Anolis sagrei: one gene and its partners. The protein of the gene in region 1 interacts with the protein of each later gene in a pairwise test. Links are inferred from orthologs where the notes say so. Each region holds a gene or a part of one and is shown on either strand. Other genes may lie near its edges. The genes, in order: EEF1G, ILF2 and KLHL18.

The links.
Region 2: the proteins of EEF1G (region 1) and ILF2 interact in a two-hybrid assay, tested with the Homo sapiens proteins (2 studies listed by BioGRID and IntAct). The two-hybrid records come from large-scale screens. The link is inferred for Anolis sagrei from reciprocal best matches to the Homo sapiens genes EEF1G and ILF2.
Region 3: the proteins of EEF1G (region 1) and KLHL18 interact in binary tests that used the Homo sapiens proteins (3 or more experiments, as listed by UniProt). The two-hybrid records come from large-scale screens. The link is inferred for Anolis sagrei from reciprocal best matches to the Homo sapiens genes EEF1G and KLHL18.

What each region holds. Positions count from the first base shown.
Region 1 is NC_090032.1:21,211,781-21,219,822, reverse strand, and holds the start of EEF1G (elongation factor 1-gamma), read left to right. Parts: upstream 1-3,839; 5' UTR 3,840-3,932; coding exon 3,933-3,947; intron 3,948-7,528; coding exon 7,529-7,687; intron 7,688-7,809; coding exon 7,810-7,873; intron 7,874-7,997; coding exon 7,998-8,042. Other genes in the region: RXFP4 (relaxin-3 receptor 2), read right to left, coding at 99-1,580. UniProt on the Homo sapiens protein: Probably plays a role in anchoring the complex to other cellular components.
Region 2 is NC_090032.1:1,534,066-1,542,107, reverse strand, and holds the start of ILF2 (interleukin enhancer-binding factor 2), read left to right. Parts: upstream 1-2,573; 5' UTR 2,574-2,700; coding exon 2,701-2,705; intron 2,706-6,326; coding exon 6,327-6,386; intron 6,387-7,057; coding exon 7,058-7,100; intron 7,101-8,042. UniProt on the Homo sapiens protein: Chromatin-interacting protein that forms a stable heterodimer with interleukin enhancer-binding factor 3/ILF3 and plays a role in several biological processes including transcription, innate immunity or cell growth.
Region 3 is NC_090026.1:130,253,877-130,261,918, forward strand, and holds the start of KLHL18 (kelch-like protein 18), read left to right. Parts: upstream 1-3,532; 5' UTR 3,533-3,647; coding exon 3,648-3,788; intron 3,789-8,042. UniProt on the Homo sapiens protein: Substrate-specific adapter of a BCR (BTB-CUL3-RBX1) E3 ubiquitin-protein ligase complex required for mitotic progression and cytokinesis.

The DNA of each region.
Region 1 (8,042 bases):
TGAAGACCACCCTCTGGAGTTTGTAGACACCCAACCCCTGGTATCCTCTCAACCTCACGTTCCTTGGAGTCCTGGGATCCAGAGAAGGTGGGGAAACCCTACTGTTCGCTTGGACTCCTGCGGTTCAAGGGCAGGACCACGACTTCCTCCAGCGTCCGGTGAGAAGAGAAGTACTGGTAGTTCGCCACGGAGGAGGAGAACCTCCGGAAGGTGTCTTTGAGGGCTTCCCGGAATTCACGGCGCATCAGACAGTATAGGACCGGGTTGAGGCAACTGCTGGCGTGAGCCAAGCAAGTGGAGATGGGGAAAAAGTACGTGTGGACGACGTAGAAGGCCTTCCCCAGAGAGACCACCTTGAACTTGATTAGGATGCCCCAAAAGGTCACGGCGTGGTTGGGGAACCAGCAGACGAAGAAGCACCCCACCACTAAGCCGACCGTAGCCATGACTTGTTTCCGCCTCTTTGAGTTCTCACCGGAGACACGGCGGACGTGGAGGAACCTCAGGAGGAGCAGGTAGGAGGTCAAGATGACCACTAATGGCACCACGAAGGTGAAGACCACCCTCTGGAGTTGGTAGGCGCCCAACCAAAACGGCGACGGGAACTTGAAAACGCAGATTTCCACCCCAAGGACGTCCACCACAGAGGTGTAGATCATGGTCGGAATGGTGGCTCCCATGGCTAAGACCCAAAGAGCCAACGTTGTCCACTTGGCCACGCGCATTGTGATTCTGGAACCATCCTTGATGGCTGAAGCCACCAACTGGTAGCGGGCAACGCTCATGGCCGTGAGCAAGAAGACGTTGGTGTAGATGCTGAGGACGGTCATCGATGGGACTATCTTGCATAAGGTTATGCCAAAGGGCCAGCTGAAGTCCAGCGCCATCTCGGTTGCCCAGAAGGGAAGGGTCAAGGAGAACTGGAAGTCGGCCGCCGCCAAGCCAAAGACGAAGATATTAATGGCCGGCGCGGGGCGGATCTTCTGTGCTCGGATTAAGTACATCACCAACGCGTTTCCCAACAGCCCCATGGCACAGACCAACGCATAGACCACGACGATGGTCATCCGCAAGCCAAAGGCAACGTCAGAAGGCATCTGAAGGTCTTCATCCTCATTGAAGGCACCAACGGAGGACCAATTCCAAACGCTGTGGTCAAGGGAGGTCTGGTTCTTGAGTTCCAGATCCCTCCTGGCCTCCATCTTCTCCAAAAGATACTTTGGTTTGGACCACGTTGCCCGCTGGATCACCAAAAGGAATGCTCCTCCATGGGTGGTGGCCTCCCAGATGATACGTCTCCCTTGGCTTTTCGTTCTCTTCCGCTTCTCCAGGTCTTCCTTTGAGAAAGGAAGGGAAGATCTAACCTGCCAAAGGAAGGCTGGAACCTGCCTCAAGACCAAGGACAACCCCTGTTTATGACCACTGGGCAGGGCACGGTTGGTGGCCCGTCTTCTTCTCCGGGAGGAAGAAGGAGGAGGAAGCCCAGCCTTCGCTCTCTGGACTTTTACGGGGATTCTTATCTTTGATTGCGTGCTGAGATTTGTGTAAACAGTCAGGAAGGTGGAGGGAGCCACCTTCATAATATATTATTTATTATAAATATAATAATATGTATAATATAATATAAAAATATAATAATTATTTATTATTATAATAAATAATAAGATTTATTATTATGATTATATAATATGCCAATAATAGCACTATAACAATGTAATATAACGTAATGTAAAATAATACAATAATATTATAATAATATGCCGATTTAAGATTATTATTTATTATTATTATTATTATATATACCAATAATAGCACTATAACAATGTAGTATAACATAATGTAATATAATACAATAATATTATAATAATATGCCGATTTAAGATTATTATTTATTATTATTATTATTATTATATATACCAATAATAGCACTATAACAATGTAGTATAACATAATGTAATATAATACAATAATATTATAATAATATGCCGATTTAAGATTATTATTTATTATTATTATTATTATATATACCAATAATAGCACTATAACAATGTAGTATAACATAATGTAATATAATACAATAATATTATAATAATATGCCAATAATAGCACTACAACAATGTAATATACAACAACAACAATTCTTTATTGATTAGTCAATTTTGACCATATCAAAACATGCAAAACATACAATGTAATATAATGTAATGTAACGTAATATAATATTATAATAATATGCCAATAATAACACTATAAGAATGCAATATAATATAATAATAATATTATAATAATATACCAAGAATAGCACTATAACAATGTAATATAATGTAAGTCACATAATATAATATTATATTCTAATAATCTACGAATAATACCACTATGACAATGTAATATGTAATATAATGTAATGTGATGTAATAATAATAATATACCAATACTATAACAATGAAATATAGTATAATATAATATATAATATAATAATATAAATATAATATGTAATATAATAATATAATAATAATATACAAAGAATATCACTATAACAATGTAATATAATGTAATGTAACATAATATAATATTATAATAATATGCCAATAATAACACTACAACAATGCAATATAATATAATAATAATATAATAATATACCAGGAATAGCACTTTAACCATGTAACATAATATAATAATAATATAATAATATAATAATAATATTCCAATAATAACACTACAACAATGCAATATAATATAATAATAATAATAATAATAATAATACTATACCAATAATAGCACTTTCACCATGTAACATAATATAATAATATAATAATTATAATAATAATATAATATTCCAGTAATAGCACTATAACAATGTAACATAATGTAATGTAACATATAATAATAATAATAATAATAATAATAATAATATGTACCAATAATAATAAGACTGTAACCATATGGTGGGAAAGAATTTCTGAGGAACCCGGAAGCTCCCTCTCCGATTGAGGGTGATGGTTGTCTACTATTTTTTGGCTAGCTCTATGTTTCCTTGGACATTTCTGGGAAAGGATTTCTGAGGAACCCGGAAACTCCCTCTCCGATTGAGGGTGATAGTTGTCTATTATTTTTTGGCTAGCTCTATGTCTCCTTGGGCATTTCTGGGAAAGGATTTCTGAGCAACCGGGAAACTCCCTCTCCGATTGAGGGTGATGGTTGTCTACTATTTTTTGGATAGCTCTATGTTTCCTTGGGCATTTCTGCGAAATAATTTATAAGCAACCCGGAAACTCCCTCTCCGATTGAGGGTGATGGTTGTCTACCATTTTTTGGATAGCTCTATGTTTCCTTGGGCATTTCTGCGAAATAATTTATAAGCAACCCGGAAACTCCCTCTCCGATTGAGGGTGATGGTTGTCTACTATTTTTTAGCTAGCTCTATGTTTCCTTGGGGCATTTCTTTCTGAGCAACCCGGAAACTCCCTCTCTGATTGAGGGTGATGGTTGTCTACTATTTTTGGCTAGCTCTATGTTTCCTTGGGCATTTCTTTCTGAGCAACCTGGAAACTCCCTCTCCAATTGAGAGTAATGGTTGTTTACTACTTTTTTTGCTAGCTCTATGTTTCCTTGTGCATTTCCTTCTGCGCAACCTGGAAACTCCCTCTTCGATTGAGGGTGATAGTTGTCTACTATTTTTTGGCTAGCTCTATGTTTCCTTGGGCGTTTCTGGGAAAGAATTTCTGAGCAACCCGGAAACTCCCTCTCCGATTGAGGGTGATGGTTGTCTACTATTTTTTGGCTAGCTCTATGTTTCCTTGGGCATTTCTCCTCCGCAAGGCCCCGCCTCTCTCTCTCTGGTGACGTCACAGAAGAGGCCGGCGGGGAATGTCGCACTGCTGCGCTTTACGGCCGCGCCGTGCGACGCTCCTCCTTTTCCTCTCCTCGCGAAGATGGCGGCGGCCGGGGTGAGCTCGCTTTCCGGAGGGGGAGCCGGCCTCCATCCGCTTCCATCGGGGCCGGGGAGCCACGGAGGGGCCCCGAAGCGGGACGAGTGGGGAGAGGGGACCCCGGCGGAGGTTTTGGGGCCTATATGGGGGCGAGGAAGCGGATGAAGGGCGAGAAATGGGGGCGAGAAGGGCCTCCGGGGGGGAGTGTCGGGTCACTCTATCCACGTCGAAGTGGCTTCTTAGGCCTCAGTGGAGTGGAGGGAGTCTAGAAGCAGGCTTGGGCCCAAGCTTGGACACTCCTGGTGTTTGGGACTACAACTCCCATCATTCCTCACAGCCTCAGGACCTTTCCTTTCCCCCCTGGGCCCTCCAGGTGTTTGGGACTACAATTCCCATCATTCCTCACAGCCTCAGGACCTTTCCTTTCCCCCCTGGGCCCTCCAGGTGTTTGGGACTACAACTCCCATCATTCCTCACAACCTCAGGCCCTTTCCTTCCCCCCTGGGCCCTCCAGGTGTTTGGGACTACAATTCCCATCATTCCTCACAACCTCAGGCCCTTTCCTTCCCCCCTGGGCCCTCCAGGTGTTTGGGACTACAATTCCCATCATTCCTCACAGCCTCAGGACCTTTCCTTTCCCCCCTGGGCCCTCCAGGTGTTTGGGACTACAATTCCCATCATTCCTCACAACCTCAGGCCCTTTCCTTTTCCCCCTGGGCCCTCCAGGTGTTTGGGACTACAACTCCCATCATTCCTCACAGCCTCAGGCCCTTTCCTTTCCCCCCTGGGCCCTCCAGGTGTTTGGGACTACAACTCCCATCATTCTTCACAGCCTCAGGCCCCTTCCTTTCCCCCCTGGGCTCTCCTGGTGTTTGGGACTACAACTCCCATCATTCCTCACAGCCTCAGGCCCTTTCATTTCCCCCCTGGGCCCTCCAGGTGTTTGGGACTACAACTCCCATCATCCCTCACAGCGTCAGGCCCTTTCCTTTCCCCCCTGGGCCCTCCTGGTGTTTGGGACTACAACTCCCATCATTCCTTAAGCGGCTGAGGGGGAAAAGGAAGGGGCCTGAGGCTGCGAGGAATGATGGGAGTTGTAGTCCCAAACACTCAGAGGGCCCAAGCTTGCAGGCTGTTCTTTGGCCTGTTGTGACAACTGGGACTGAGAAGCCTTGGGGCAATCTGGTGCCCATCATCCTGTTCCTTTGCTGTCTAATACTTTGTCTTGCTAGCCATTGTGGGACTACATTGCCCATCATCCTGTTCTTTTGCTGTCTAATACTTTGTATTGCTAGCCATTGTGGGACTGCATTGCCCATCATCCTGTTCCTTTTGCTGTCTAATACTTTGTATTGCTAGCCATTGTGGGACTACATTGCCCATCATCCTGTTCCTCTGCTCCTTTTCATGTCTTTCTTGTCCTTCCCCTCATCCCTAATAATAATAGTAATAGTAATAGATACATAGGCACTTTGGGTCTTGTTTGTGGAGAGAATAAGCAGAGTATAAACATAATAATAATAATAATAATAATAATAATAATAATAATAATATATACATAATAATACATAATAATAATATATACATAATAATAATAGATATATAGGCACTTTGGGTTTTGTTTGTGGTGAGAATAAGCAGAGTATAAACATAATAATAATAATAATAATATATACATAATAATACATAATAATAATATATACATAATAATAATAGATATATAGGCACTTTGGGTTTTGTTTGTGGTGAGAATAAGCAGAGTATAAACATAATAATAATAATAATAATAATAATATATACATAATAATACATAATAATAATATATACATAATAATAATAGATATATAGGCACTTTGGGTTTTGTTTGTGGAGAGAATAAGCAGAGTATAAACATAATAATAATAATAATAATAATAATATATACATAATAATAATAATAATAATAGATATATAGGCACTTTGGGTTTTGTTTGTGGTGAGAATAAGCAGAGTATAAAAATAATAATATATACATAATAATACATAATAATAATAATACATAGGCACTTTGGGTCTTGTTTGTGGAGAGAATAAGCAGAGTATAAACATAATAATAATACTAATACTAATTATAGATATAAACATCATAATAATAATAATAGATACATAGCCTCTTTGGGTCTTGTTTGTGGAGAGTAAGCAGCGTATAAACATAATAATAATAATAACAATAGATAAATAATAATAATAATAGATACATAGGCACTTTGGGTCTTGCTTGTGGAGAGAATAAGCAGAGTATAATAATAATAATAATAATAATAATAGTAATAATAATAGATACATAGGCACTTTGGGTCTTTTTTGTAGAGAAAATAAGCAGGGTATAAACATAATAATAATAGATACATAACCACTTTGAGTCTTGTTTCTGGAGAGAAAAGCAGGTATAATAATAATAATAATAGATACATAGGCACTTTCGTTCTTCCTTGGGGAGAGAATAAGCAGAGTACAAACATAATAATACATACATACTAATATAGATACATAGTTGCTTTGGGTCTTCCTTGGGGAGAGAATAAGCAGAATATAAACAATAATAATTATAATTGCTATTACTATTATACATCTAATACTAAAAATAGATACATAGCCACTGTTTGTGGAGATAATAAGCAGAGTATAAACAATAATAATTATAATACATATTAATACTAATAATAGATATAAACATAATAATAGATATATAGCCACTTTGGGTCTTGTTTGGGGAGAGAATAAGCAGAGTATAAACATAATAGTAATAATAATGCATACTAAAACTAATAATAGATGCGTAGCCAATTTGGGTCTTGTTTGTGGCGAGAATAAGCAGGGTATAAACATAATATAATAATAATAATAATAAATTCCTTAGCTTTTTGCTTCTATCCATACTTTGGTCTTTCCTTCTTTCCTTCCCTCCCCCTTTCTCTCCTTTCTTCCTTCTCTACCTCTTTCCTTCCTTTCCTTTTTCTTACCTTCTCTTCCTTCCTTCTCTACCTCTTTCTTTTCCCCTTTTTCTTTTCATTCCTCTTTCTCTCCTTTCTTCCTTCTCTACCTCTTTCCTTCCTTCCTTTGCTTTTTGCTTCTATCCATACTTGTCTTTTCTTTTTTCCTTCCCTTCCTCTTTCTCTCCTTTCTTACTTCTCTACCTCTTTCATTCCTTTCCTTTTTTTTACCTTCTCTTCCATCCTTCTCTACCTCTTTCTTTCCTCCCCCTTTTTCTTTTCATCCCTCTTTCTCTCCTTTATAATAATATAATATAATAATAATAAATAATAAATTAATAAATAATAAATAATAAATGATAATACTAATAATAGATACATAACCTCTTTGGGTCTTGTTTGTGAAGAGAATAAGTGGGGTATAATAATAATAATAATAATAATAATAATAATAATAATAAATATGTATACATCACACAGTCCTAGATGCTTGGGAAGTGTTCGACTTGTGATTTTGTGATAGGAAATCCAGCATATAGATCTCGTTTGCTGTGACATACTGTGGTTTGGTGTCAGTAAAATAATAGTAATAGTAATAATAATAATATTAATATTATCCTTCTGCAGACTCTCTACACTTACCCCGAAAACTGGCGGGCTTTCAAGGTCCTCATTGCGGCCCAGTACAGCGGCGCCAAGATCAAGGTCCTCTCCAGCCCGCCCCAGTTCCACTTCGGGCAGACCAACAAGACCCCCGAGTTCCTGAAGAAATTCCCAGTTGGGAAGGTGGGTCTCTGGGATGGAGCTGGGACCTGTCAAGACTGGGAAGCGTATTCTTGGGAGCACTGGGAGACTTAGCGTCATTGTTTACATCCCTTTGGTGGCTTACGACAGCTCTTTCTTTGTAGGTCCCAGCTTTTGAAGGGGACGATGGGTTCTGCGTGTTTGAGAGCAACGCCATTGCACACTACGGTAACAGTATTCCCCCATGTGTCTTTGTCATTACCTCCATAAAGGGGGATTTATAGTTTGTGGGAATTCAGCTCAGGAATCCAAGCAAGGCCTATTGTGGTGACCGTCTCCTTCATTCCTTCAGTCAGCAACGAAGAGCTGCGAGGAGCCACCAAAGAGGCGGCCGCCC
Region 2 (8,042 bases), about 20 Mb from region 1:
TTGCACTATATTTGCCCTTACCTGCTCAACCTGCTGCACCAATTAATATTATTATTCCTATTACGATGACTAATATTGCATACTTGTCCTTGCCTGCTCAAGATGGCACTGGCTGCACCAATAACATTAGCATTAGTATTCTTATTATCTCAGGGAATTTGCTCTTGCAAACAACAACAACAACACTACAATTAGAAGAATAATAATTACAGACTCACTGGAGCCCTAAAGTGAGGCGGGCAATATCGCCACCTGGTGGTCAGTGCTAGGAATGCCCTCTTCTGCTCCACAAGGTCTCTCATTAGTACTAATTATTATGATTCTCATCATCATCACTGTCATCAGTGCTATAAACATCTATGGCCTCCCCAGGACACCATATAAATAATCAATTAATTATTAATATTCTTAATTGTTATTACTTGTGAATAATTAATTATATTATATTAATAGTTAATAATTAATATTAATAATTAATATTATTATTAATATAACGAATATGGCTAATTTAATATAACTAAATTATAATTAATATTAATAGTTAATAGTTTCCTATTAATTGATATTAATTAAATATTAATATTAATTAATATTAGTGATTAATATAAATAAGTATTAATAGTTAATACTTAGTAGGCATCCTATTAATTAATATTAATTAAATATTAATATTAATTAATATTAATAATTCAAGTAATCAATTATTAATAGTTAATAATGAATATTAATAATTAATATTATTGATATAACGAATATAGCTAATATAATATAACGAAATTATAATTAATATTAATATAATTAATATTTTGATTTTGATTGATGATTAATATTAATTAATGTTAATATTTAATTAATATCAATTAATAGACATCTTATTAATTAATATTAATTAAATATTAACATTAATTAATATTAATAATCAATATAATTAATTATTAATAGTTAACAATTAATAGCCATCCTATTAATTAATATTAATTAAATATTAATATTAATTAATGTTAATAATTAATATAATTAATTATTAATAGTTAATGATTAATAAGCATTCTATTAATTAAAATTAATTAAATTTTAATATTAAGTAATATTAATAATTAATATAAATAATTATTAATAGTTAATGATTAATAGGTATCTTAACTATTAATTATTATTTATATAATATTAATAATTATTAATAGTTAGGATACCTATTAATCATTAACTATTAATAATTATTTATATTGATTTATATTAAAAAACCAAAACAAAATTCAAATGAATATTAATTACAGTAATTTCCAAGTAGGTACGGGCTTTTCCTAAATTAACAAAGCGTGCTTAATGTTGTGTTTAAGGGAGAATTAAATTATCATTGCTAATTATTATTAATTATTATTATTATTATTTATTAAATAATAAATAATATTAATTAATATTAATAATTAATATTAATAATTATTAGGTATCCTATTAATACTAATTATTAATTATTATAATTAATAATAATAATTAATAATAATTAGCAAATAGCAATGATAATTTAATTCTCCCTTAAACACAACATTAAGCACACTTTGTTAATTTAGGAGAAGCACGTACCTACTTAGAAATGAATTACTGTAATTAATATTCATTTGAATATTAATTTGAATAATTTGAAGAGAGGGGAAAAAATTAGCAGAGGATGGTTTCGATCCATCGACCTCTGGGTTATGGGCCCAGCACGCTTCCGCTGCGCCACTCTGCTCCATTGGAACTCCAGGCGGCTTAGGGAGTACATAAGAGCATGTCACGTTCTGCGCATGCGCACGTTTCTTGGAGTCATTTCCTTTGGAGTCTCTCCTCCTAGGGAAGCACCGCGCATGCGCCCCTTTCGCCTCTTCTCTCCATCTCCTCCTAGGGAGGCACTGCGCATGCGTCCCTTTCTCTTCTCTCCATCTCCTCCTAGTGAGGCACTGCGCATGCACCGCTTTCGCCTCTTCTCTCATCTCCTCCTAGTGAGGCACTGCGCATGCGTCCCTTTCTCTTCTCTCATCTCTGCCTAGTGAGGCACTGCGCATGCGTCCCTTTTTCCTCTTCTCTCTCCTCCTAGTGAGGCACTGCGCATGCGCCCCTTTCGCCTCTTCTCTCCTCCTAGTGCGCATGCGTTCCTTTCTCCTCTCAATCTCCTCCTAGTCAGCCACTGCGCATGCGTCCCTTTCTCCTCTCAATCTCCTCCTAGTGAGGCACTGCGCATGCGCCCCTTTCTCTCAATCTCCTCCTAGTGAGGCACTGCGCATGCGTCCCTTTCTCTCCCTCTCCTCCTAGTGAGGCACTGCGCATGCGTCCCTTTCTCCTCTCAATCGCCTCCAATGAGGCACTGCGCATGCGCTCCTTTCTCCTCCTCTCTCCTTTCTCCTATTGGCGAACGAGGAGAAAAAAGAGAAAAGGGTGTGCGCGCGCGGCCTGATTGATAGGCCCAGAAGCCAATAAAATCACAGAACCTGAAAGAAAGGGCGGGGAAAAAAGAGGAACGCGAGACAGGAATTGGCTGCAAGGTTAGGAACCTACCACGGCGGGTTTTACTCACTTGGGAAGGCCAATCGCGTCGACGCTTCTTGCGAGGTGGACAAAGGCGGCGGCGAAAGAGCGGGCCGGGTGGTTATTCTTCGCGGAGGGTCTTCAGGGAGGAAGAGGCGCTTTGCGGACTCGGAACGGTTCTCACTGGAAGGAAGCATGAGGTAAAAAGAGGGAGAAGTCAGAGAGAGAGATGGAAATATGGAAATATACATATTATATTATGTATATTATATATATATATATATATATATAATATTATTATAATATTATAGTATTTAATTTAATAAATATATTATATTATTATATGTATATTTAATATTTAATATTTAATATTATTATAATATTATAATATTTAATATAATATATATATATGTATATATATAATGTTATTATAATATAATAATATTTAATTTAATATATAATATATATATTATATTATTAAATATAATATATAATACTAAATATAAAATATATATTATATGAAAATTATATATTTATTTAATATATATGAGATAAATAAAATACTATGTATATTATTTAATATTGTATAATGTTCTATATATTAAACATTACACATTAAATAATATATGTAGTATTTTATTTATCTCATATATATTAAATTTAATATATAAATAATATATAGATAATATAGATACATTCTCTATAATATATATAATATCTATCTGATATTATATCTATATGATCTATATATTAGATATAATATCATATACATATTATAGAGAATGTATCTATATTATCTATATATTAAATTGTAGATATATTATCTATAATATAGATAATAGATAATATAGATACATTCTCTATAATATCTATATGATCTATATATTAAACATTATACAGTATTAAATAATATATATAGTATTTCATTTATCTCATATATATTAAATTAATATATAATTTTCATATAATATATGTTATATTATAGATAATATATCTACAATATAATATATAATCATCTATATTATCTATATTATAGATAATATAGATATAATTTAATATATAGATAATATATTATAACTATATATAATATAATATATCACACGCATATTAAATATTATACGATATTAAATATTAAATAGTTTATTTAATATATTATAGATACTCAATATATTTAATGCTATATATATATATATATATATATATATATATATAATATGCACAGACTATATAAAGGCCTTAAATCACCATATATATATATATTATGTTATACTTATATAATTTTAAATATTGTATAAGATTTAATCTATATATATAAATTTGTTAGGGGCATCCAACGAGGAAACAAAACTCAAAAACCCCCCAACGAAACTGTACCAAAATTGCCATGCCCATAAGACAACCCACAAGGTACAAACATATCTACTCAAAATGAAAAACAACACAACAACACACTCACAAAACGGCAAAACAATTGAGCATGCGCATTGGTGCCCAGCCGCAAGTTCCCTGGCGCGCGCACACAGTTCCCTCTGCGGAAGCCATGCCCACTCCAAGCCCCGCTACGCTCCTTCCCGTACACACACACCCCGCCGCAAGCACACACACAACCCCACGCTCCATCACTCCCCCCGCCGCACACACACACGCAACCCCACGCTCCATCACTCCCCCACCGCCACATACACACGCGCAACCCCACTCCCCCCCGCTGCCGCACACACACACGCAACCCCACGCTCCATCACTCCCCCCGCTGCCGCACACACACACACAACCTCACGCTCCATCACTTGCCTGCCCCAATCTTACCTCCTTTTACTTCACGCCACCTCCAAACCCCACCGCACCCCTTCCCGCCCTGTCAAAATCCAGGAAAGACAGGAAGGAAGGAAAGAAGGAAGAAAGAGAAAGGGAGATAAAGAAAAGGGGGAAGGAAGGAAAGTTAGAGAAAGAAGGAAGAAGAAAAGGAAAGAAAAGGAAAGATGGAAGGAAAGAAAAGAGAGACAGCAGAAGAGAAAGAAAAAGGGGGAAGGAAGGAAAGAGGTAGAGAAGGAAGAAATGAGAGACAGAGGGAGGGAAAGAAAAAGGGGGAAGGAAGGAAGGAGAGAAGGAAAGAAAAAAGGGAATGAAAGAAGGAAAGAGGGAGTGAAGGAAGGGGGAAGATGTAGAGAAAGAGGGAGGGAAGGAAAGAAGGAAAGAGAGAAGGAAGAAAAGAGACCAGAAGAGAAAGAAAAAGGGGGAAGGAAGGAAAGAGAGAAGGAAAGAAAAAAGGGAATGAAGGAAGGAAAGAGGGAGTGAAGGAAGGGGGAAGATGTAGAGAAAGAGGGAGGGAAGGAAAGAAGGAAAGAGAGAAGGAAGGAAAGAGGCCAGAAGAGAAAGAAAAAGGGGGAAGGAAGGAAGGAGAGAAGGAAAGAAAAAAGGGAATGAAGGAAGGAAAGAGGGAGTGAAGAAAGGGGGAAGATGTAGAGAAAGAGGGAGGGAAGGAAAGAAGGAAAGAGAGAAGGAAGGAAAGAGGCCAGAAGAGAAAGAAAAAGGGGGAAGGAAGGAGATAGAGAAGGAAGAGGAGAAGGAAAGATGGGAGGGAAGGAAGGAAGGAGGGAAAGAAGGAGAGAAAGAGGGAAGGTTGGTCACAGCAATGCGTGGCGGGTAAAGGTTGTTATTTCTATGATTATTATGATGCTATTATTCCTCTGAGACCCTTTTAGGGGGAATGGGAGAGGTGTCAGGTCCCGGAGGCAATGCATTGCATTATTGCTATTGTTATGATGGTGGTGAAATAAAAGGAAATAAAAAGCGAAAGAAGGAAGCAAACAGGGAGGGAAGAAAGGCAAAGGAAGAAAGGGGGAGGGAATGAAGGAAAGAGAGAAGGATGAAACCAAGTAGTGAAAGAAGGAAAGAAAGAAAGAGGTAGAGAAGGAAGAAAGGAGAGAAAGGGGGAGGAAAAGGGGGAAGGAAGAGGTAGGTACCTCTCTTTCATAATAGTCCAGATATCTACCTCAACTTTGATAAGTTTTACTATAGGCCACAGCAACGCATGGCAGGGCACAGCTAGTACTGTATATATTTGTGTGGGTGTAATATACCTATATTATCTATATATTACATATTATACAATTTTAAATATTACATAAATATGATATAAACATATATATGGTGTTTTATTTAATGCCTTTGTACTTTGCATATATATATATATATATATTATAATATACATACTCTATATATTTAATGCTATATATATATATATAAGCACAGAATATATAAAGACATTAAAACTATATATACATATACATACATCATACTTGCATAACATTTGATATTGTATAATATTTAACACTGTATATATATTGTGTGGGTGTAATATATATCTATATTATCTATATATTACATATTATGCAATATTAAATATTACATAAATATAGTATTAACATATATATGGTGTTTTATTTAATGCCTTTATATATTCTGTGCTCTCTCTATATATAGCATTAAATATATTGAATGTCTATATCTATCTTTCTATACGCATCTATCTATCTATATATATTGTGGCAGAGGCCTCCTGCCTCCACAAACATAATACTGGCAGGATTTGGGGGTGCCTGCCCTTGGCATATGGGACTTGTAGTTCACCCTTATCCAGAGAGAACTGAACCCAGCTGACGACGGATCTGGACCTCACTTGACACGCAGACGCAGCATGGCCAGCTGGTTTGGGGAGGATTGACCCATGATTCTGGGAACTGTAGTTCTCCCACATTTTCTAATGGGAACATTCCTAAAAAACGAAATCTCATTCTGGCTTTTTTCCTAATTAACAGGGGCGATAGAGGCCGTGGTCGTGGAGGGCGCTTTGGCTCTCGGGGAGGCCCTGGCAGTGGGTAAGTCCCAGAGATTGTGTGTGTGTGTTTGTGTGTGAGAGAGAGACAGTCCTCGAGTAGCACCTCCATCTTTGTTTGTGTCTGTGGGAGTCGTAGTTTGGTGAGGCACCCGCACTTTGGCAGAGAAGGCTAAAGCCCTTCAGATATGACCCCAGGATGCCATACCATGGAGCCGTGACGGCTAAAGTGGTGTTGAGCTGCATTAATAATACAGTGTGGACACACCCCTTGAAAGCTTGACAGCTTGATCTGTGCTGTCAGTGTAGTTTTCCATGACCTCGAAAGTGTGCTGTATCTGGGACAGTGGGAATTTAACACTGCAAGCTTTAGGTATTTCTTCTGTGGCTCGGCTGCTGTTGCGCATGTTGTGTTGTTTTGTGGTGTCCTTTTATAGATGTCTTTGACTTGGTTGTGCCCTGCTTTGAGCCCAAAGGCGAGGAATAAATAGAATGATTGTTATTGTTACGTGCCTTGTGCTGGATCTACACTGTCCTACATCCCAGGATATGGTCCCAGATTATTTGGCCATGTAGACTTATATAATCCAGTTCAAAGCAGATAATTTTGGATAATATCCTGGGATATAGGACAATATAAATCCAGCCTTGGCTTGGGGTTCCAGCGGGAATGAAATCAAAACACACTCTCTTTCCTGTCACCTTGTGTTTCAGGTTCCGGCCCTTTGTGCCTCACATCCCTTTTGACTTCTATGTGGTAAGTCGTCTTTGAAAAGTGCCCTCCGGGTTTGTTTTATTTATTTACTTACCGTATTATACTCGAGTATAAGCCGACCCAAATATAAGCCGAGGCACCTGATTTTACCACAAAAAACTGGGGAAACTTATTGACTCGAGCATAAGCCGAGGGTGGGAAATTCAGCCGCTATGGGTCTGTTTCAAAATAAAAATAGATACTAATAAAATTACATTAATTGAAGCATCAGTAGGTTGAATGTTTATTAATATTTACATAAGACTGTCCAACTCTGACTAATCCGTTATTCTAACTTTCTTCAATGTACATGTGTACGTATCCTTCCAATAATAATAGAGTAAAATAATAAAAGTAATAATAATAAAAATAATAAACTTAACCTATAAATGTAATAATAATGATGATAATGATAATAGAGTAAAATAAAAAATAATCTTGACTCGAGTATAAGCCGAGGGGAGCTTTTTCAGCCTAAAAAAAGGGTTGAAAAACTCAAGTATAGACAGTATTAATTTACGACATTTATATCCCACCCTTCTCACCCCAAAGAGGAACTCAGAGCAGCTTACAAGTAATATGTATATACAATATATTATATTATTACCATTTATTTATTTATTTATTTGGTACGCTTATATACCGCTAATATCTCAGCCTATACGGCGACTCATTGCGGTTTACAGCATATTTAAAACTACAATATTCCAATTACAAATATAAAGTTAAAATATAAAATACATACATATACATACATAAAAGTATTGGGCCACCAATACAGACCAGAACATCTCATAATTAAAGTCACAATCCAAATTCGTTGTCCGAGATTGCTAATCCATGATCAAGCATCATCAGGTCGGGTTAGCCGAAAACTTGCTGGAACATCCAGGTTTTCAGTTTTTTCCGAAATGCCATTAGCGAGGTGGCTGATCTTATTTCAGT
Region 3 (8,042 bases), on another chromosome or scaffold:
GCCAGTCTGATGTCTCTACTCTTTACTATTCTATCGAGACTGGACATTGCTCTCCTCCCAAGAAGGAAGCGTCTCCTGATTTCCTGGCCACAGTCTGCATCTGCAGTCATCTTTGCGCCTAGAAATACAAAGTCTGTCACGGCCTCCACATTTTCTCCCTCTATTTTCCAGTTGTCAGTCATTCTTGTTGCCATAATCTTGGTTTTTTTGATATTTACCTGCAGCCCGGCTTTTGCGCTTTCTTCTTTCACCTTGATTAGAAGGCTCCTCGGCTCCTCCTCGCTTTCGGCCATCAGAGTGGTGTCATCTGCATATCTGAGGTTGTTGATGTTTCTTCCAGCAATTTTCACCCCAGCTTTGCATTCCTCAAGCCCCGCACATCCTCGCATGATGTGTTCTGCATATAAGTTAAAAAGGTTGGGTGAGAGGATGCAGCCTTGCCGTACGCCTTTCCCAATCTTGAACCCGTCTCCTGTTCCGTGGTCAGTTCTGACTGTTGCCACTTGGTCCTTGTACAGATTCCTCAGGAGAGAGGGAAGGGGGCTTGGGATGCCCATCCCACCAAGAACTTGCCACAATTTATTATGATCCACACAGTCAAAGGCTTTAGAATAGTCAATGAAGCAGAAGTAGATGTTTTTCTGAAACTCCCTGCCTTTCTCCATTCTTCAGCTTCCGGATATTGGCAATCTGGTCTCTGGTTCCTCTGCCTTTTCTAAACCCAGCTTGAACATCTGGCAGCTCTCGCTCCATGTATTGCTGGAGTCTTCCTTGCAGGATCTTGAGCATTACCTTACTGGCATGAGAAATAAGGGCCACGGTACGGAAGTTGGAGCAGTCTTTCGCATTTCCCTTTTTTGGTATGGGGATATAAGTGGATTTTTTCCAGTCTGATGGCCATTCTTGTGTTTTCCATATTTGCTGGCATATGGCATGCATCACCTTGACAGCATCATCTTTTAAGATTTTAAACAGTTCAACTGGGATCCTGTCGTCTCCTGCTGCCTTGTTGTTAGCAATGCTTCTTAAGGCCCATTCCACCTCACTCCTCAGGATGTCTGGTTCTAATTCATTCACCACACTGTCAAAACTATCCTCAATATTATTATCCTTCCTATACAGATCTTCTGTATAGTCTCACCACCTTCTCTTCTCTCTTCAGCTTCTGTTAGGTCCCTGCCATCTTTGTTTCTTATCATACCAATTTTTGCCTGAAATTTACCTCCAATGTTTCTAATTTTCTGGAAGAATAATAATGAATTTTATATATATATATATATATATATATATATATATATATAATATTTTATATGTATATTTAATATATTATATTATATATTATATAATATTATATTATATTTATTTATTTGGATTGCTTTTACCCCGCCCTTCTCAACCCCCTAGGGGGGACTCAGGGCGGCTTACAAAAGGCACAATTCGATGCCTAACAATTACAGCATACAGTACACTATACAATACACAAATTTACCACATAATATCACAGTTATAACTAATTAAAATTTATACATTATATTATATTATATAATATTTTATATGTATATTTAATATATTTTATTATATTTATATATAATATATAATAATATTATATATATTATATAATATAATATTATTAATACAATATAATACTAATTAATAATATATAATATTAATATTATATTAATATATAATATTGATACTATATTAATATATAATATTAATATAATAATATTATATATTTATTATATTTATATAATATAATATTATAATAATGAATCATATATACATTACATTATATATATAATATTATAATATATTAAATATATATAATATAATATAATAATAATAATATTGAATTATATATATAATATTTTATATGTATATTTAATATATTTTATTATATTTATATATAATATATAATAATATTATATATTATATATAATATAATATTAATATATTAATAAATATTAATATAATATTAATATAATAACTACTAATATATTACATTAATAATATTATATAATATATAATATATATTATATTATATATATAAATATAATAAAATATATTAAATATACATATAATATATAATTATATATATAATTCATTGTTATTATATTAACATAATATAATATAATATATTAATATAAATATAATATTTAGGTAACGGCGCTCCATGCAGTCATGCTGGCCACATGACCTTGGAAGGTGTCTACGGACAACGCCGGCTCTTCGGCTTAGAAATGGAGATGAGCACCATCCACCAGACACAATTTATTTATTTCATTCACTTATACCCCGCCCTTCTCACCCCGGGGGGGACTCAGGGCGGCTTACAGGGGAAGGCACAATTAGATGCCCAAACACATAACAAATAATACAAAAATAACAATTCAACACTTAAGTTAAAAACATCGGTACATAGTAAAATCCTGAAACCTAAAAACAATCTCAAGTCAGGGTCCATATATCAGAGTCCACAGTCCGATCTACTCCGTTTGTCTTTGTCTATTCCCAGGTCCTTGATTTAATTGTTAGAGTGACCAAAAGCTTGGTCCCACATCCAGGTCTTTAGTTTTTTCCTAAATGCTAGGAGAGAGGTCGCCGATCTAATCTCCCCGGGGAGTGAGTTCCACAGGCGGGGGGCCGCCACTGAGAAGGCCCTGCTCCTCGTCCCCGCCAGCCTCGCTTGAGAGACTGGCGGGGTCGAGAGCAGGGCCTCCCCAGAAGATCTTAGACTTCGAGGTGGGACGTAGAGGGAGATCCGTTCGGACAAATACACTGTGCCGGAACCGTATAGGGTTTTATAGGTCAAGACCAGCACTTTAAATTCTGCTCGGAATTGGATTGGCAGCCAGTGGAGCTGACGCAACAGGGGGGTGGTGTGCTCCCTGTATGTCGCTCCGGTGAGCAACCTGGCTGCTTCTCGCTGTACAAGTTGAAGTTTCCGAGCAGTCTTTAATGGCAACCCCACATAGAGTGCGTTGCAGTAATCCAGCCGGGATGTGACAAGAGCGTGGACCACCGTGGCCAGATCCGACTTCTGGACTTAATGTCAGGAGACTACCTTTACCTTTACCTATAACATAATATAATATATATAATATAATAATAATATAATATAATATATATAATTAATATAATATAATATAACATAATATAATAATATAATATAATTAAATAAAATAAATAATATATATAATATAATATAATAATATAATATAATATAATAATTTAATATAATATGACATAATATAATATAATATATTATATATATAATAATATAATAATAATGATTCGTTATAGTAATAATCATAATAATCTATTTTACAAACCCGCCTGAAACGGAGCAAGAGAGAGCGCACGCGCGGAGGTAGTTCTCCCTCCGTTGCTGTGGCGACCGCCACTTCCTGCGTCTCCCCGTTGCCTAGGCGACGCCCGCTTCCTTCCCTTCCCAAAACCCCGCCCTCCCGGTGACGTCAGGCGAGGCTTCAAAGCGCAAAGGGGGCGGGGCGTCAGGCACAGAAGGGAGGAGGATGTCAATGATGTCACTTCCGGCGTTTCTCTCACTCTCTCAGTGAAAGCGGTGCGGCGACGGTGGCCGAGCGGGGCCAAGCCGAGGAGAAGGAGGAGGAGGTGGTGCTGCCGCCATGCTGGAGACGGCGGGCCCGGATCCGGAGCTGGACCCGGAGGATTTGGTCCACTTCTCGGTGGGGGACTTGCCCAGCCGGGGCTACGGCGTGATGGGAGAGATACGCAGGCAAGGGAAGCTCTGCGACGTCACCCTCAAGGTAAGGAAGGCCTCAGCAGGCCAGTTTGGGCCCTCCCTCCTTGTATGAGTTTGGGACTACAACTCCCACAATTCCTCACAGCCTCAGTCCCCTTCTTTTTCCCCCTCAGCCGCTTAAGCGGCTGAGGGGGAAAAGGAAGGGGCCTGAGGCTGTGAGGAATTGTGGGAGTTGTAGTCCCAAACTCATACAAACAGGTTGGGTCCCTAGGTGACTGTGGAGCCCTATTCTTGACCTGCATCTTCTCCCACAGTGAGGGCATCGGTTTCAAAGTGGAAGTCAGCCCCAGTCGGGGTTGGCTTGACATGCCTTCCTCTTGGCACGCTTCTCTTTTTCGCCCTCTTCAAATTCTACAGCACTGCTGGTCACAGCTGACCTCCAGCTGGAGCGGTCAAGGGCCAGGACTTCCCAGTTCTCAGTGTCTATGCCAGAGTTTTTAAGGTTGGCTTTGAGCCCATCTTTCAATCTCTTTTCCTGCCCACCATAATTCCGTTTTCCCTTCTCGAGTTCGGAGTAGAGCAACTGCTTTGGGAGACAGTGGTCGAGCATCCGGATAACGTGAGTTGATGGTGGAGGACGATCGCTTCAATGCTGGTGGTCTTTGCTTCTTCCAGCACGCTGACGTTTGTCCGCTTGTCTATCAAAGAGATTTGCAGGATTTTCCGGAGGCAGCGCTGATGGAATCGTTCCAGGAATTGCATGTGACGTCTGTAGACAGTCCACGTTTTGCAGGTGTATAGCAGGGTTGGGAGGACAATAGCTTTATAGACAAGCACCTTGGTATCCCTACAGGTGTCTCAGTCCTCAAACACTCTCTGCTTCATTCGGAAAAATGCTGCACTCGCAGAGCTCAGGCGGTGTTGTATTTCAGTGTCCATGTTGACTTCTGTAAACAGTCCACTTCTTGCAGGTGTATAGCAGGGTTGGGAAGACAATGGCTTTATAAACAAGCACCTTAGTATCCCATTTGTCCACCTGTCTTCCCAAGAGATTTGCAGGATTTTCCGGAGGCAGCGCTGATGGAATCGTTCCAGGAGTTGCATGTGACATCTGTAGACAGTCCACGTTTCGCAGGTGTATAGCAGGGTTGGGAGGACAGTAGCTTTATAAATAAGCACCTTGGTATCCCTACAGATGTCCCGGTCCTCAAATACTCTCTGTTTCATTCGGAAGAATGCTGCACTTGCAGAGCTCGGGTGGTGTTGTATTTCAGTGTCAATGATGACTTCTGTAGACAGTCCACGTCTCGCAGGCGTATAGCAGGGTTGGGAGGAGAAGGGCTTTATAAACAAGCACCTTGGTATCCCTACGGATGTCCTGGTCCTCAAACACTCTCTGCTTCATTCGGAAAAATGCTGCGCTCACAGAGCTCAGGTGGTGGTGTATTTCAGTGTCAATGTTGACTTTGGTGGAGAGGTGGCTGTCAAGGTAGCGGAAATGGTCCACGTTTTCTAATGTTACACCATTAAGCTGTATTTCTGGCATTGGAGAGGGAGTGGCCGGTGACTGCTGGAAGAGCACTTTGGTTTTCTCGATATTTAATGACAGGCCGAGCTTCTCGTATGCTTCTGCAAAGGTGTTTAGAGTGGCATTCTTCTGAATGCACACAGATGACGTTATCCTCAGTATACTGGAATTCTGTAACAGATGTTGTTGTGACCTTAGTTTTAGCTTTCAGTCTGCCGAGGGTAAATAGCTTGCTGATAGATGATTTCCACTCCGGTGGGGATCTTCCCATCAACAAGGTGAAGTATCAGAGCGATGAAGATGGAGAATAAAGTTGGGGCAATAACACATCCCTGTTTGACACCTGATTCCATCTTAAATGGGTCACTTTGGGAGCCATTGCTGTCCAATCCCAGGTGACAGCAGGATTGAAGAGAAACAACCAGAAAAGCTGACACGATGTGAGGATGTAAAAATCGAATTGCAAAGACTCTGGCACAAGCCAGTAAAGGTGGTCCCATTGGTGGTCAGCACACTGGGTGCAGTGCCTCAAGACCTTGGCCTGCACTTAAACACAGTCTGCACTAACAAAATTACCACCTGCCAGCTGCAGAAGGCCACCTTACTGGGATCTGATACATCACACAGTCCTAGGCACTTGGGAAGTGTCCGACGTGTGATCCAATACAACAGTCACCAGAGTGATCTTGTTTGCAGGGGACTCATCTTGTTGTGTTTCCAACTGACAAAATACCCAGTGCATAGGGATCACCAAATGCAGCATTGCCCAGGCACAAATCAAAGAACACAAAAGGCACTGCAGACACATTCAGCCAGAGAAGTCAGCCATACCAGAGCATTTGATGAACCAACCTGGACGCGGAATATTATTTGAGAACACAGACATTCTAGACACCATGTCAAACTACACAGAGATGCCCCTGAAATCCACAGGCATGTGAACAATCTCAACAGAAAGGGCATTCCATAGACATATATACTCCTCTTGCTTAAAGAATCATAGAATCAAAGAGTTGGAAGAGACCTCATGGGCCATCCAGTCCAACCCCATTCTGCCAAGAAGCAGGAATGTTGCATTCAAATCATCCCTGACAGATGGCCATCCAGCCTCTGTTTAAAAGCTTCCAAAGAAGGAGCCTCCACCACACTCCGGGGCAGAGAGTTCCACTGCTGAACGGCTCTCACAGTCAGGAAGTTCTTCCTCATGTTCAGATGGAATCTCCTCTTTTGTAGTTCGAAGCCATTGTTCCATTGCGTCCTAGTCTCCGAGGAAACAGAAAACAAGCTTGCTCCTTCCTCCCTGTGGCTTCCTCTCACATATTTATATATGACTATCATATCTCCTCTCAGCCTTCTCTTCTTCAGACTAAACATGCCGAGCTCCTTAAGCCGCTCCTCATAGGGCTTCTTCTCCAGACCCTTGATCATTTTACTATCAGATTACTATCAGATCCTTGGAAGATGCTAGCCACAGATGCAGGCAAAACATCAGGAGAATATGCTGCTAGAACACATTGGCCAGACAGCCCGGAAGCCACGCAACACACCAACTCCCATTCCCTTTGGTTATTTGCCCTGCAGACTGGGAACGATGGGAATGGTAACCCAACATTATTTATGCCTCTGAGGTTAGGGAAAGGTTAAAATGCTTTTTAAAGTCAGGCATCATATCCACAAGCCTTGGATCTATATTCAAACCCCGCTGATTGACCATAACAAACTACATCTGTATCACTGATGGCAGCTCTTGTCATGTTGTCTAATGATGAATAATACGGGAGTTGTATTCCAGCATTTGGAGGAGGGCCACATAAAAGGAAATGGAGGAATGGATGTTGCCCAAGAGCCTTGAGTTTGACACCTCTGCATCAATAATCTTCCTCTCTTCTGCTTTGACAGGCCTCATTTTGGAATATTTATTTATTTATTTCAGTTATTTCTACCCCGCCCTTCCCACCTCGGAGGGGACTCAGGGCGGCTTACAAAGGCACAATTTGATGCCGGCATCAACATAACAGTAGAATAAAAACAATATAGCAGCAATTAAACAATTAACAATCAGTTTCTACATTGCAACAATAAAACCAAAAAACCAATAAAACCAATTTCACCTAATTAACGCTCAGCATTCGGAATAATACTGTGTCCAATTCTGGGCAAAGCTGTTCAAGAAGGAGATGGACAGTGAGACAAAAGGTCTTTAGAGAAGGGCGACCAAAATGACCTAAGGACTGGAAACTATGAATAAATGAAAAAGTGCTGGCGACTTTCTCTGACTGTGCTCTAGCGAGTGTCCTAACCTACTGCATCTGTGCATGGTTTGGCAACTGCACAGTGGCAGATAGGAAAGTGCTCCAAAGGGTCACCATCTCTGCACAGAGAAATGTTGGTTGCCCTCTTTCTCCCCTCTTTGGAAGAACTTTATAGGTTCCGCAACCTTATGAAAGCTCTGAACATTCTTGGGGATCCATCTTGCCCAGCATATTCTCTTTTTGAAGTATTACCACCTAGCAAACAGTTCAGGGTGACAAAGACAAGGGTAAACAGACCGAGGGCCCTCCCACACAGCCATATAACCCAGAATATCAAGACAGAAAATCCCACAATATCTGCTTTGAACAGGGTTATGTGATTCCACACTGACATATATTCCAGTTCAAAGCAGAAAATGTGGGATTTTATTTAGCTGTGTGGAAGGAGCCTGAGAGTTGTAACTGGTGTGTGCTGAGGAAGGCATTTAATGTCGTTGTGCAATAGCACAATAACAATAAAGCTATTCTATTCTGTGAA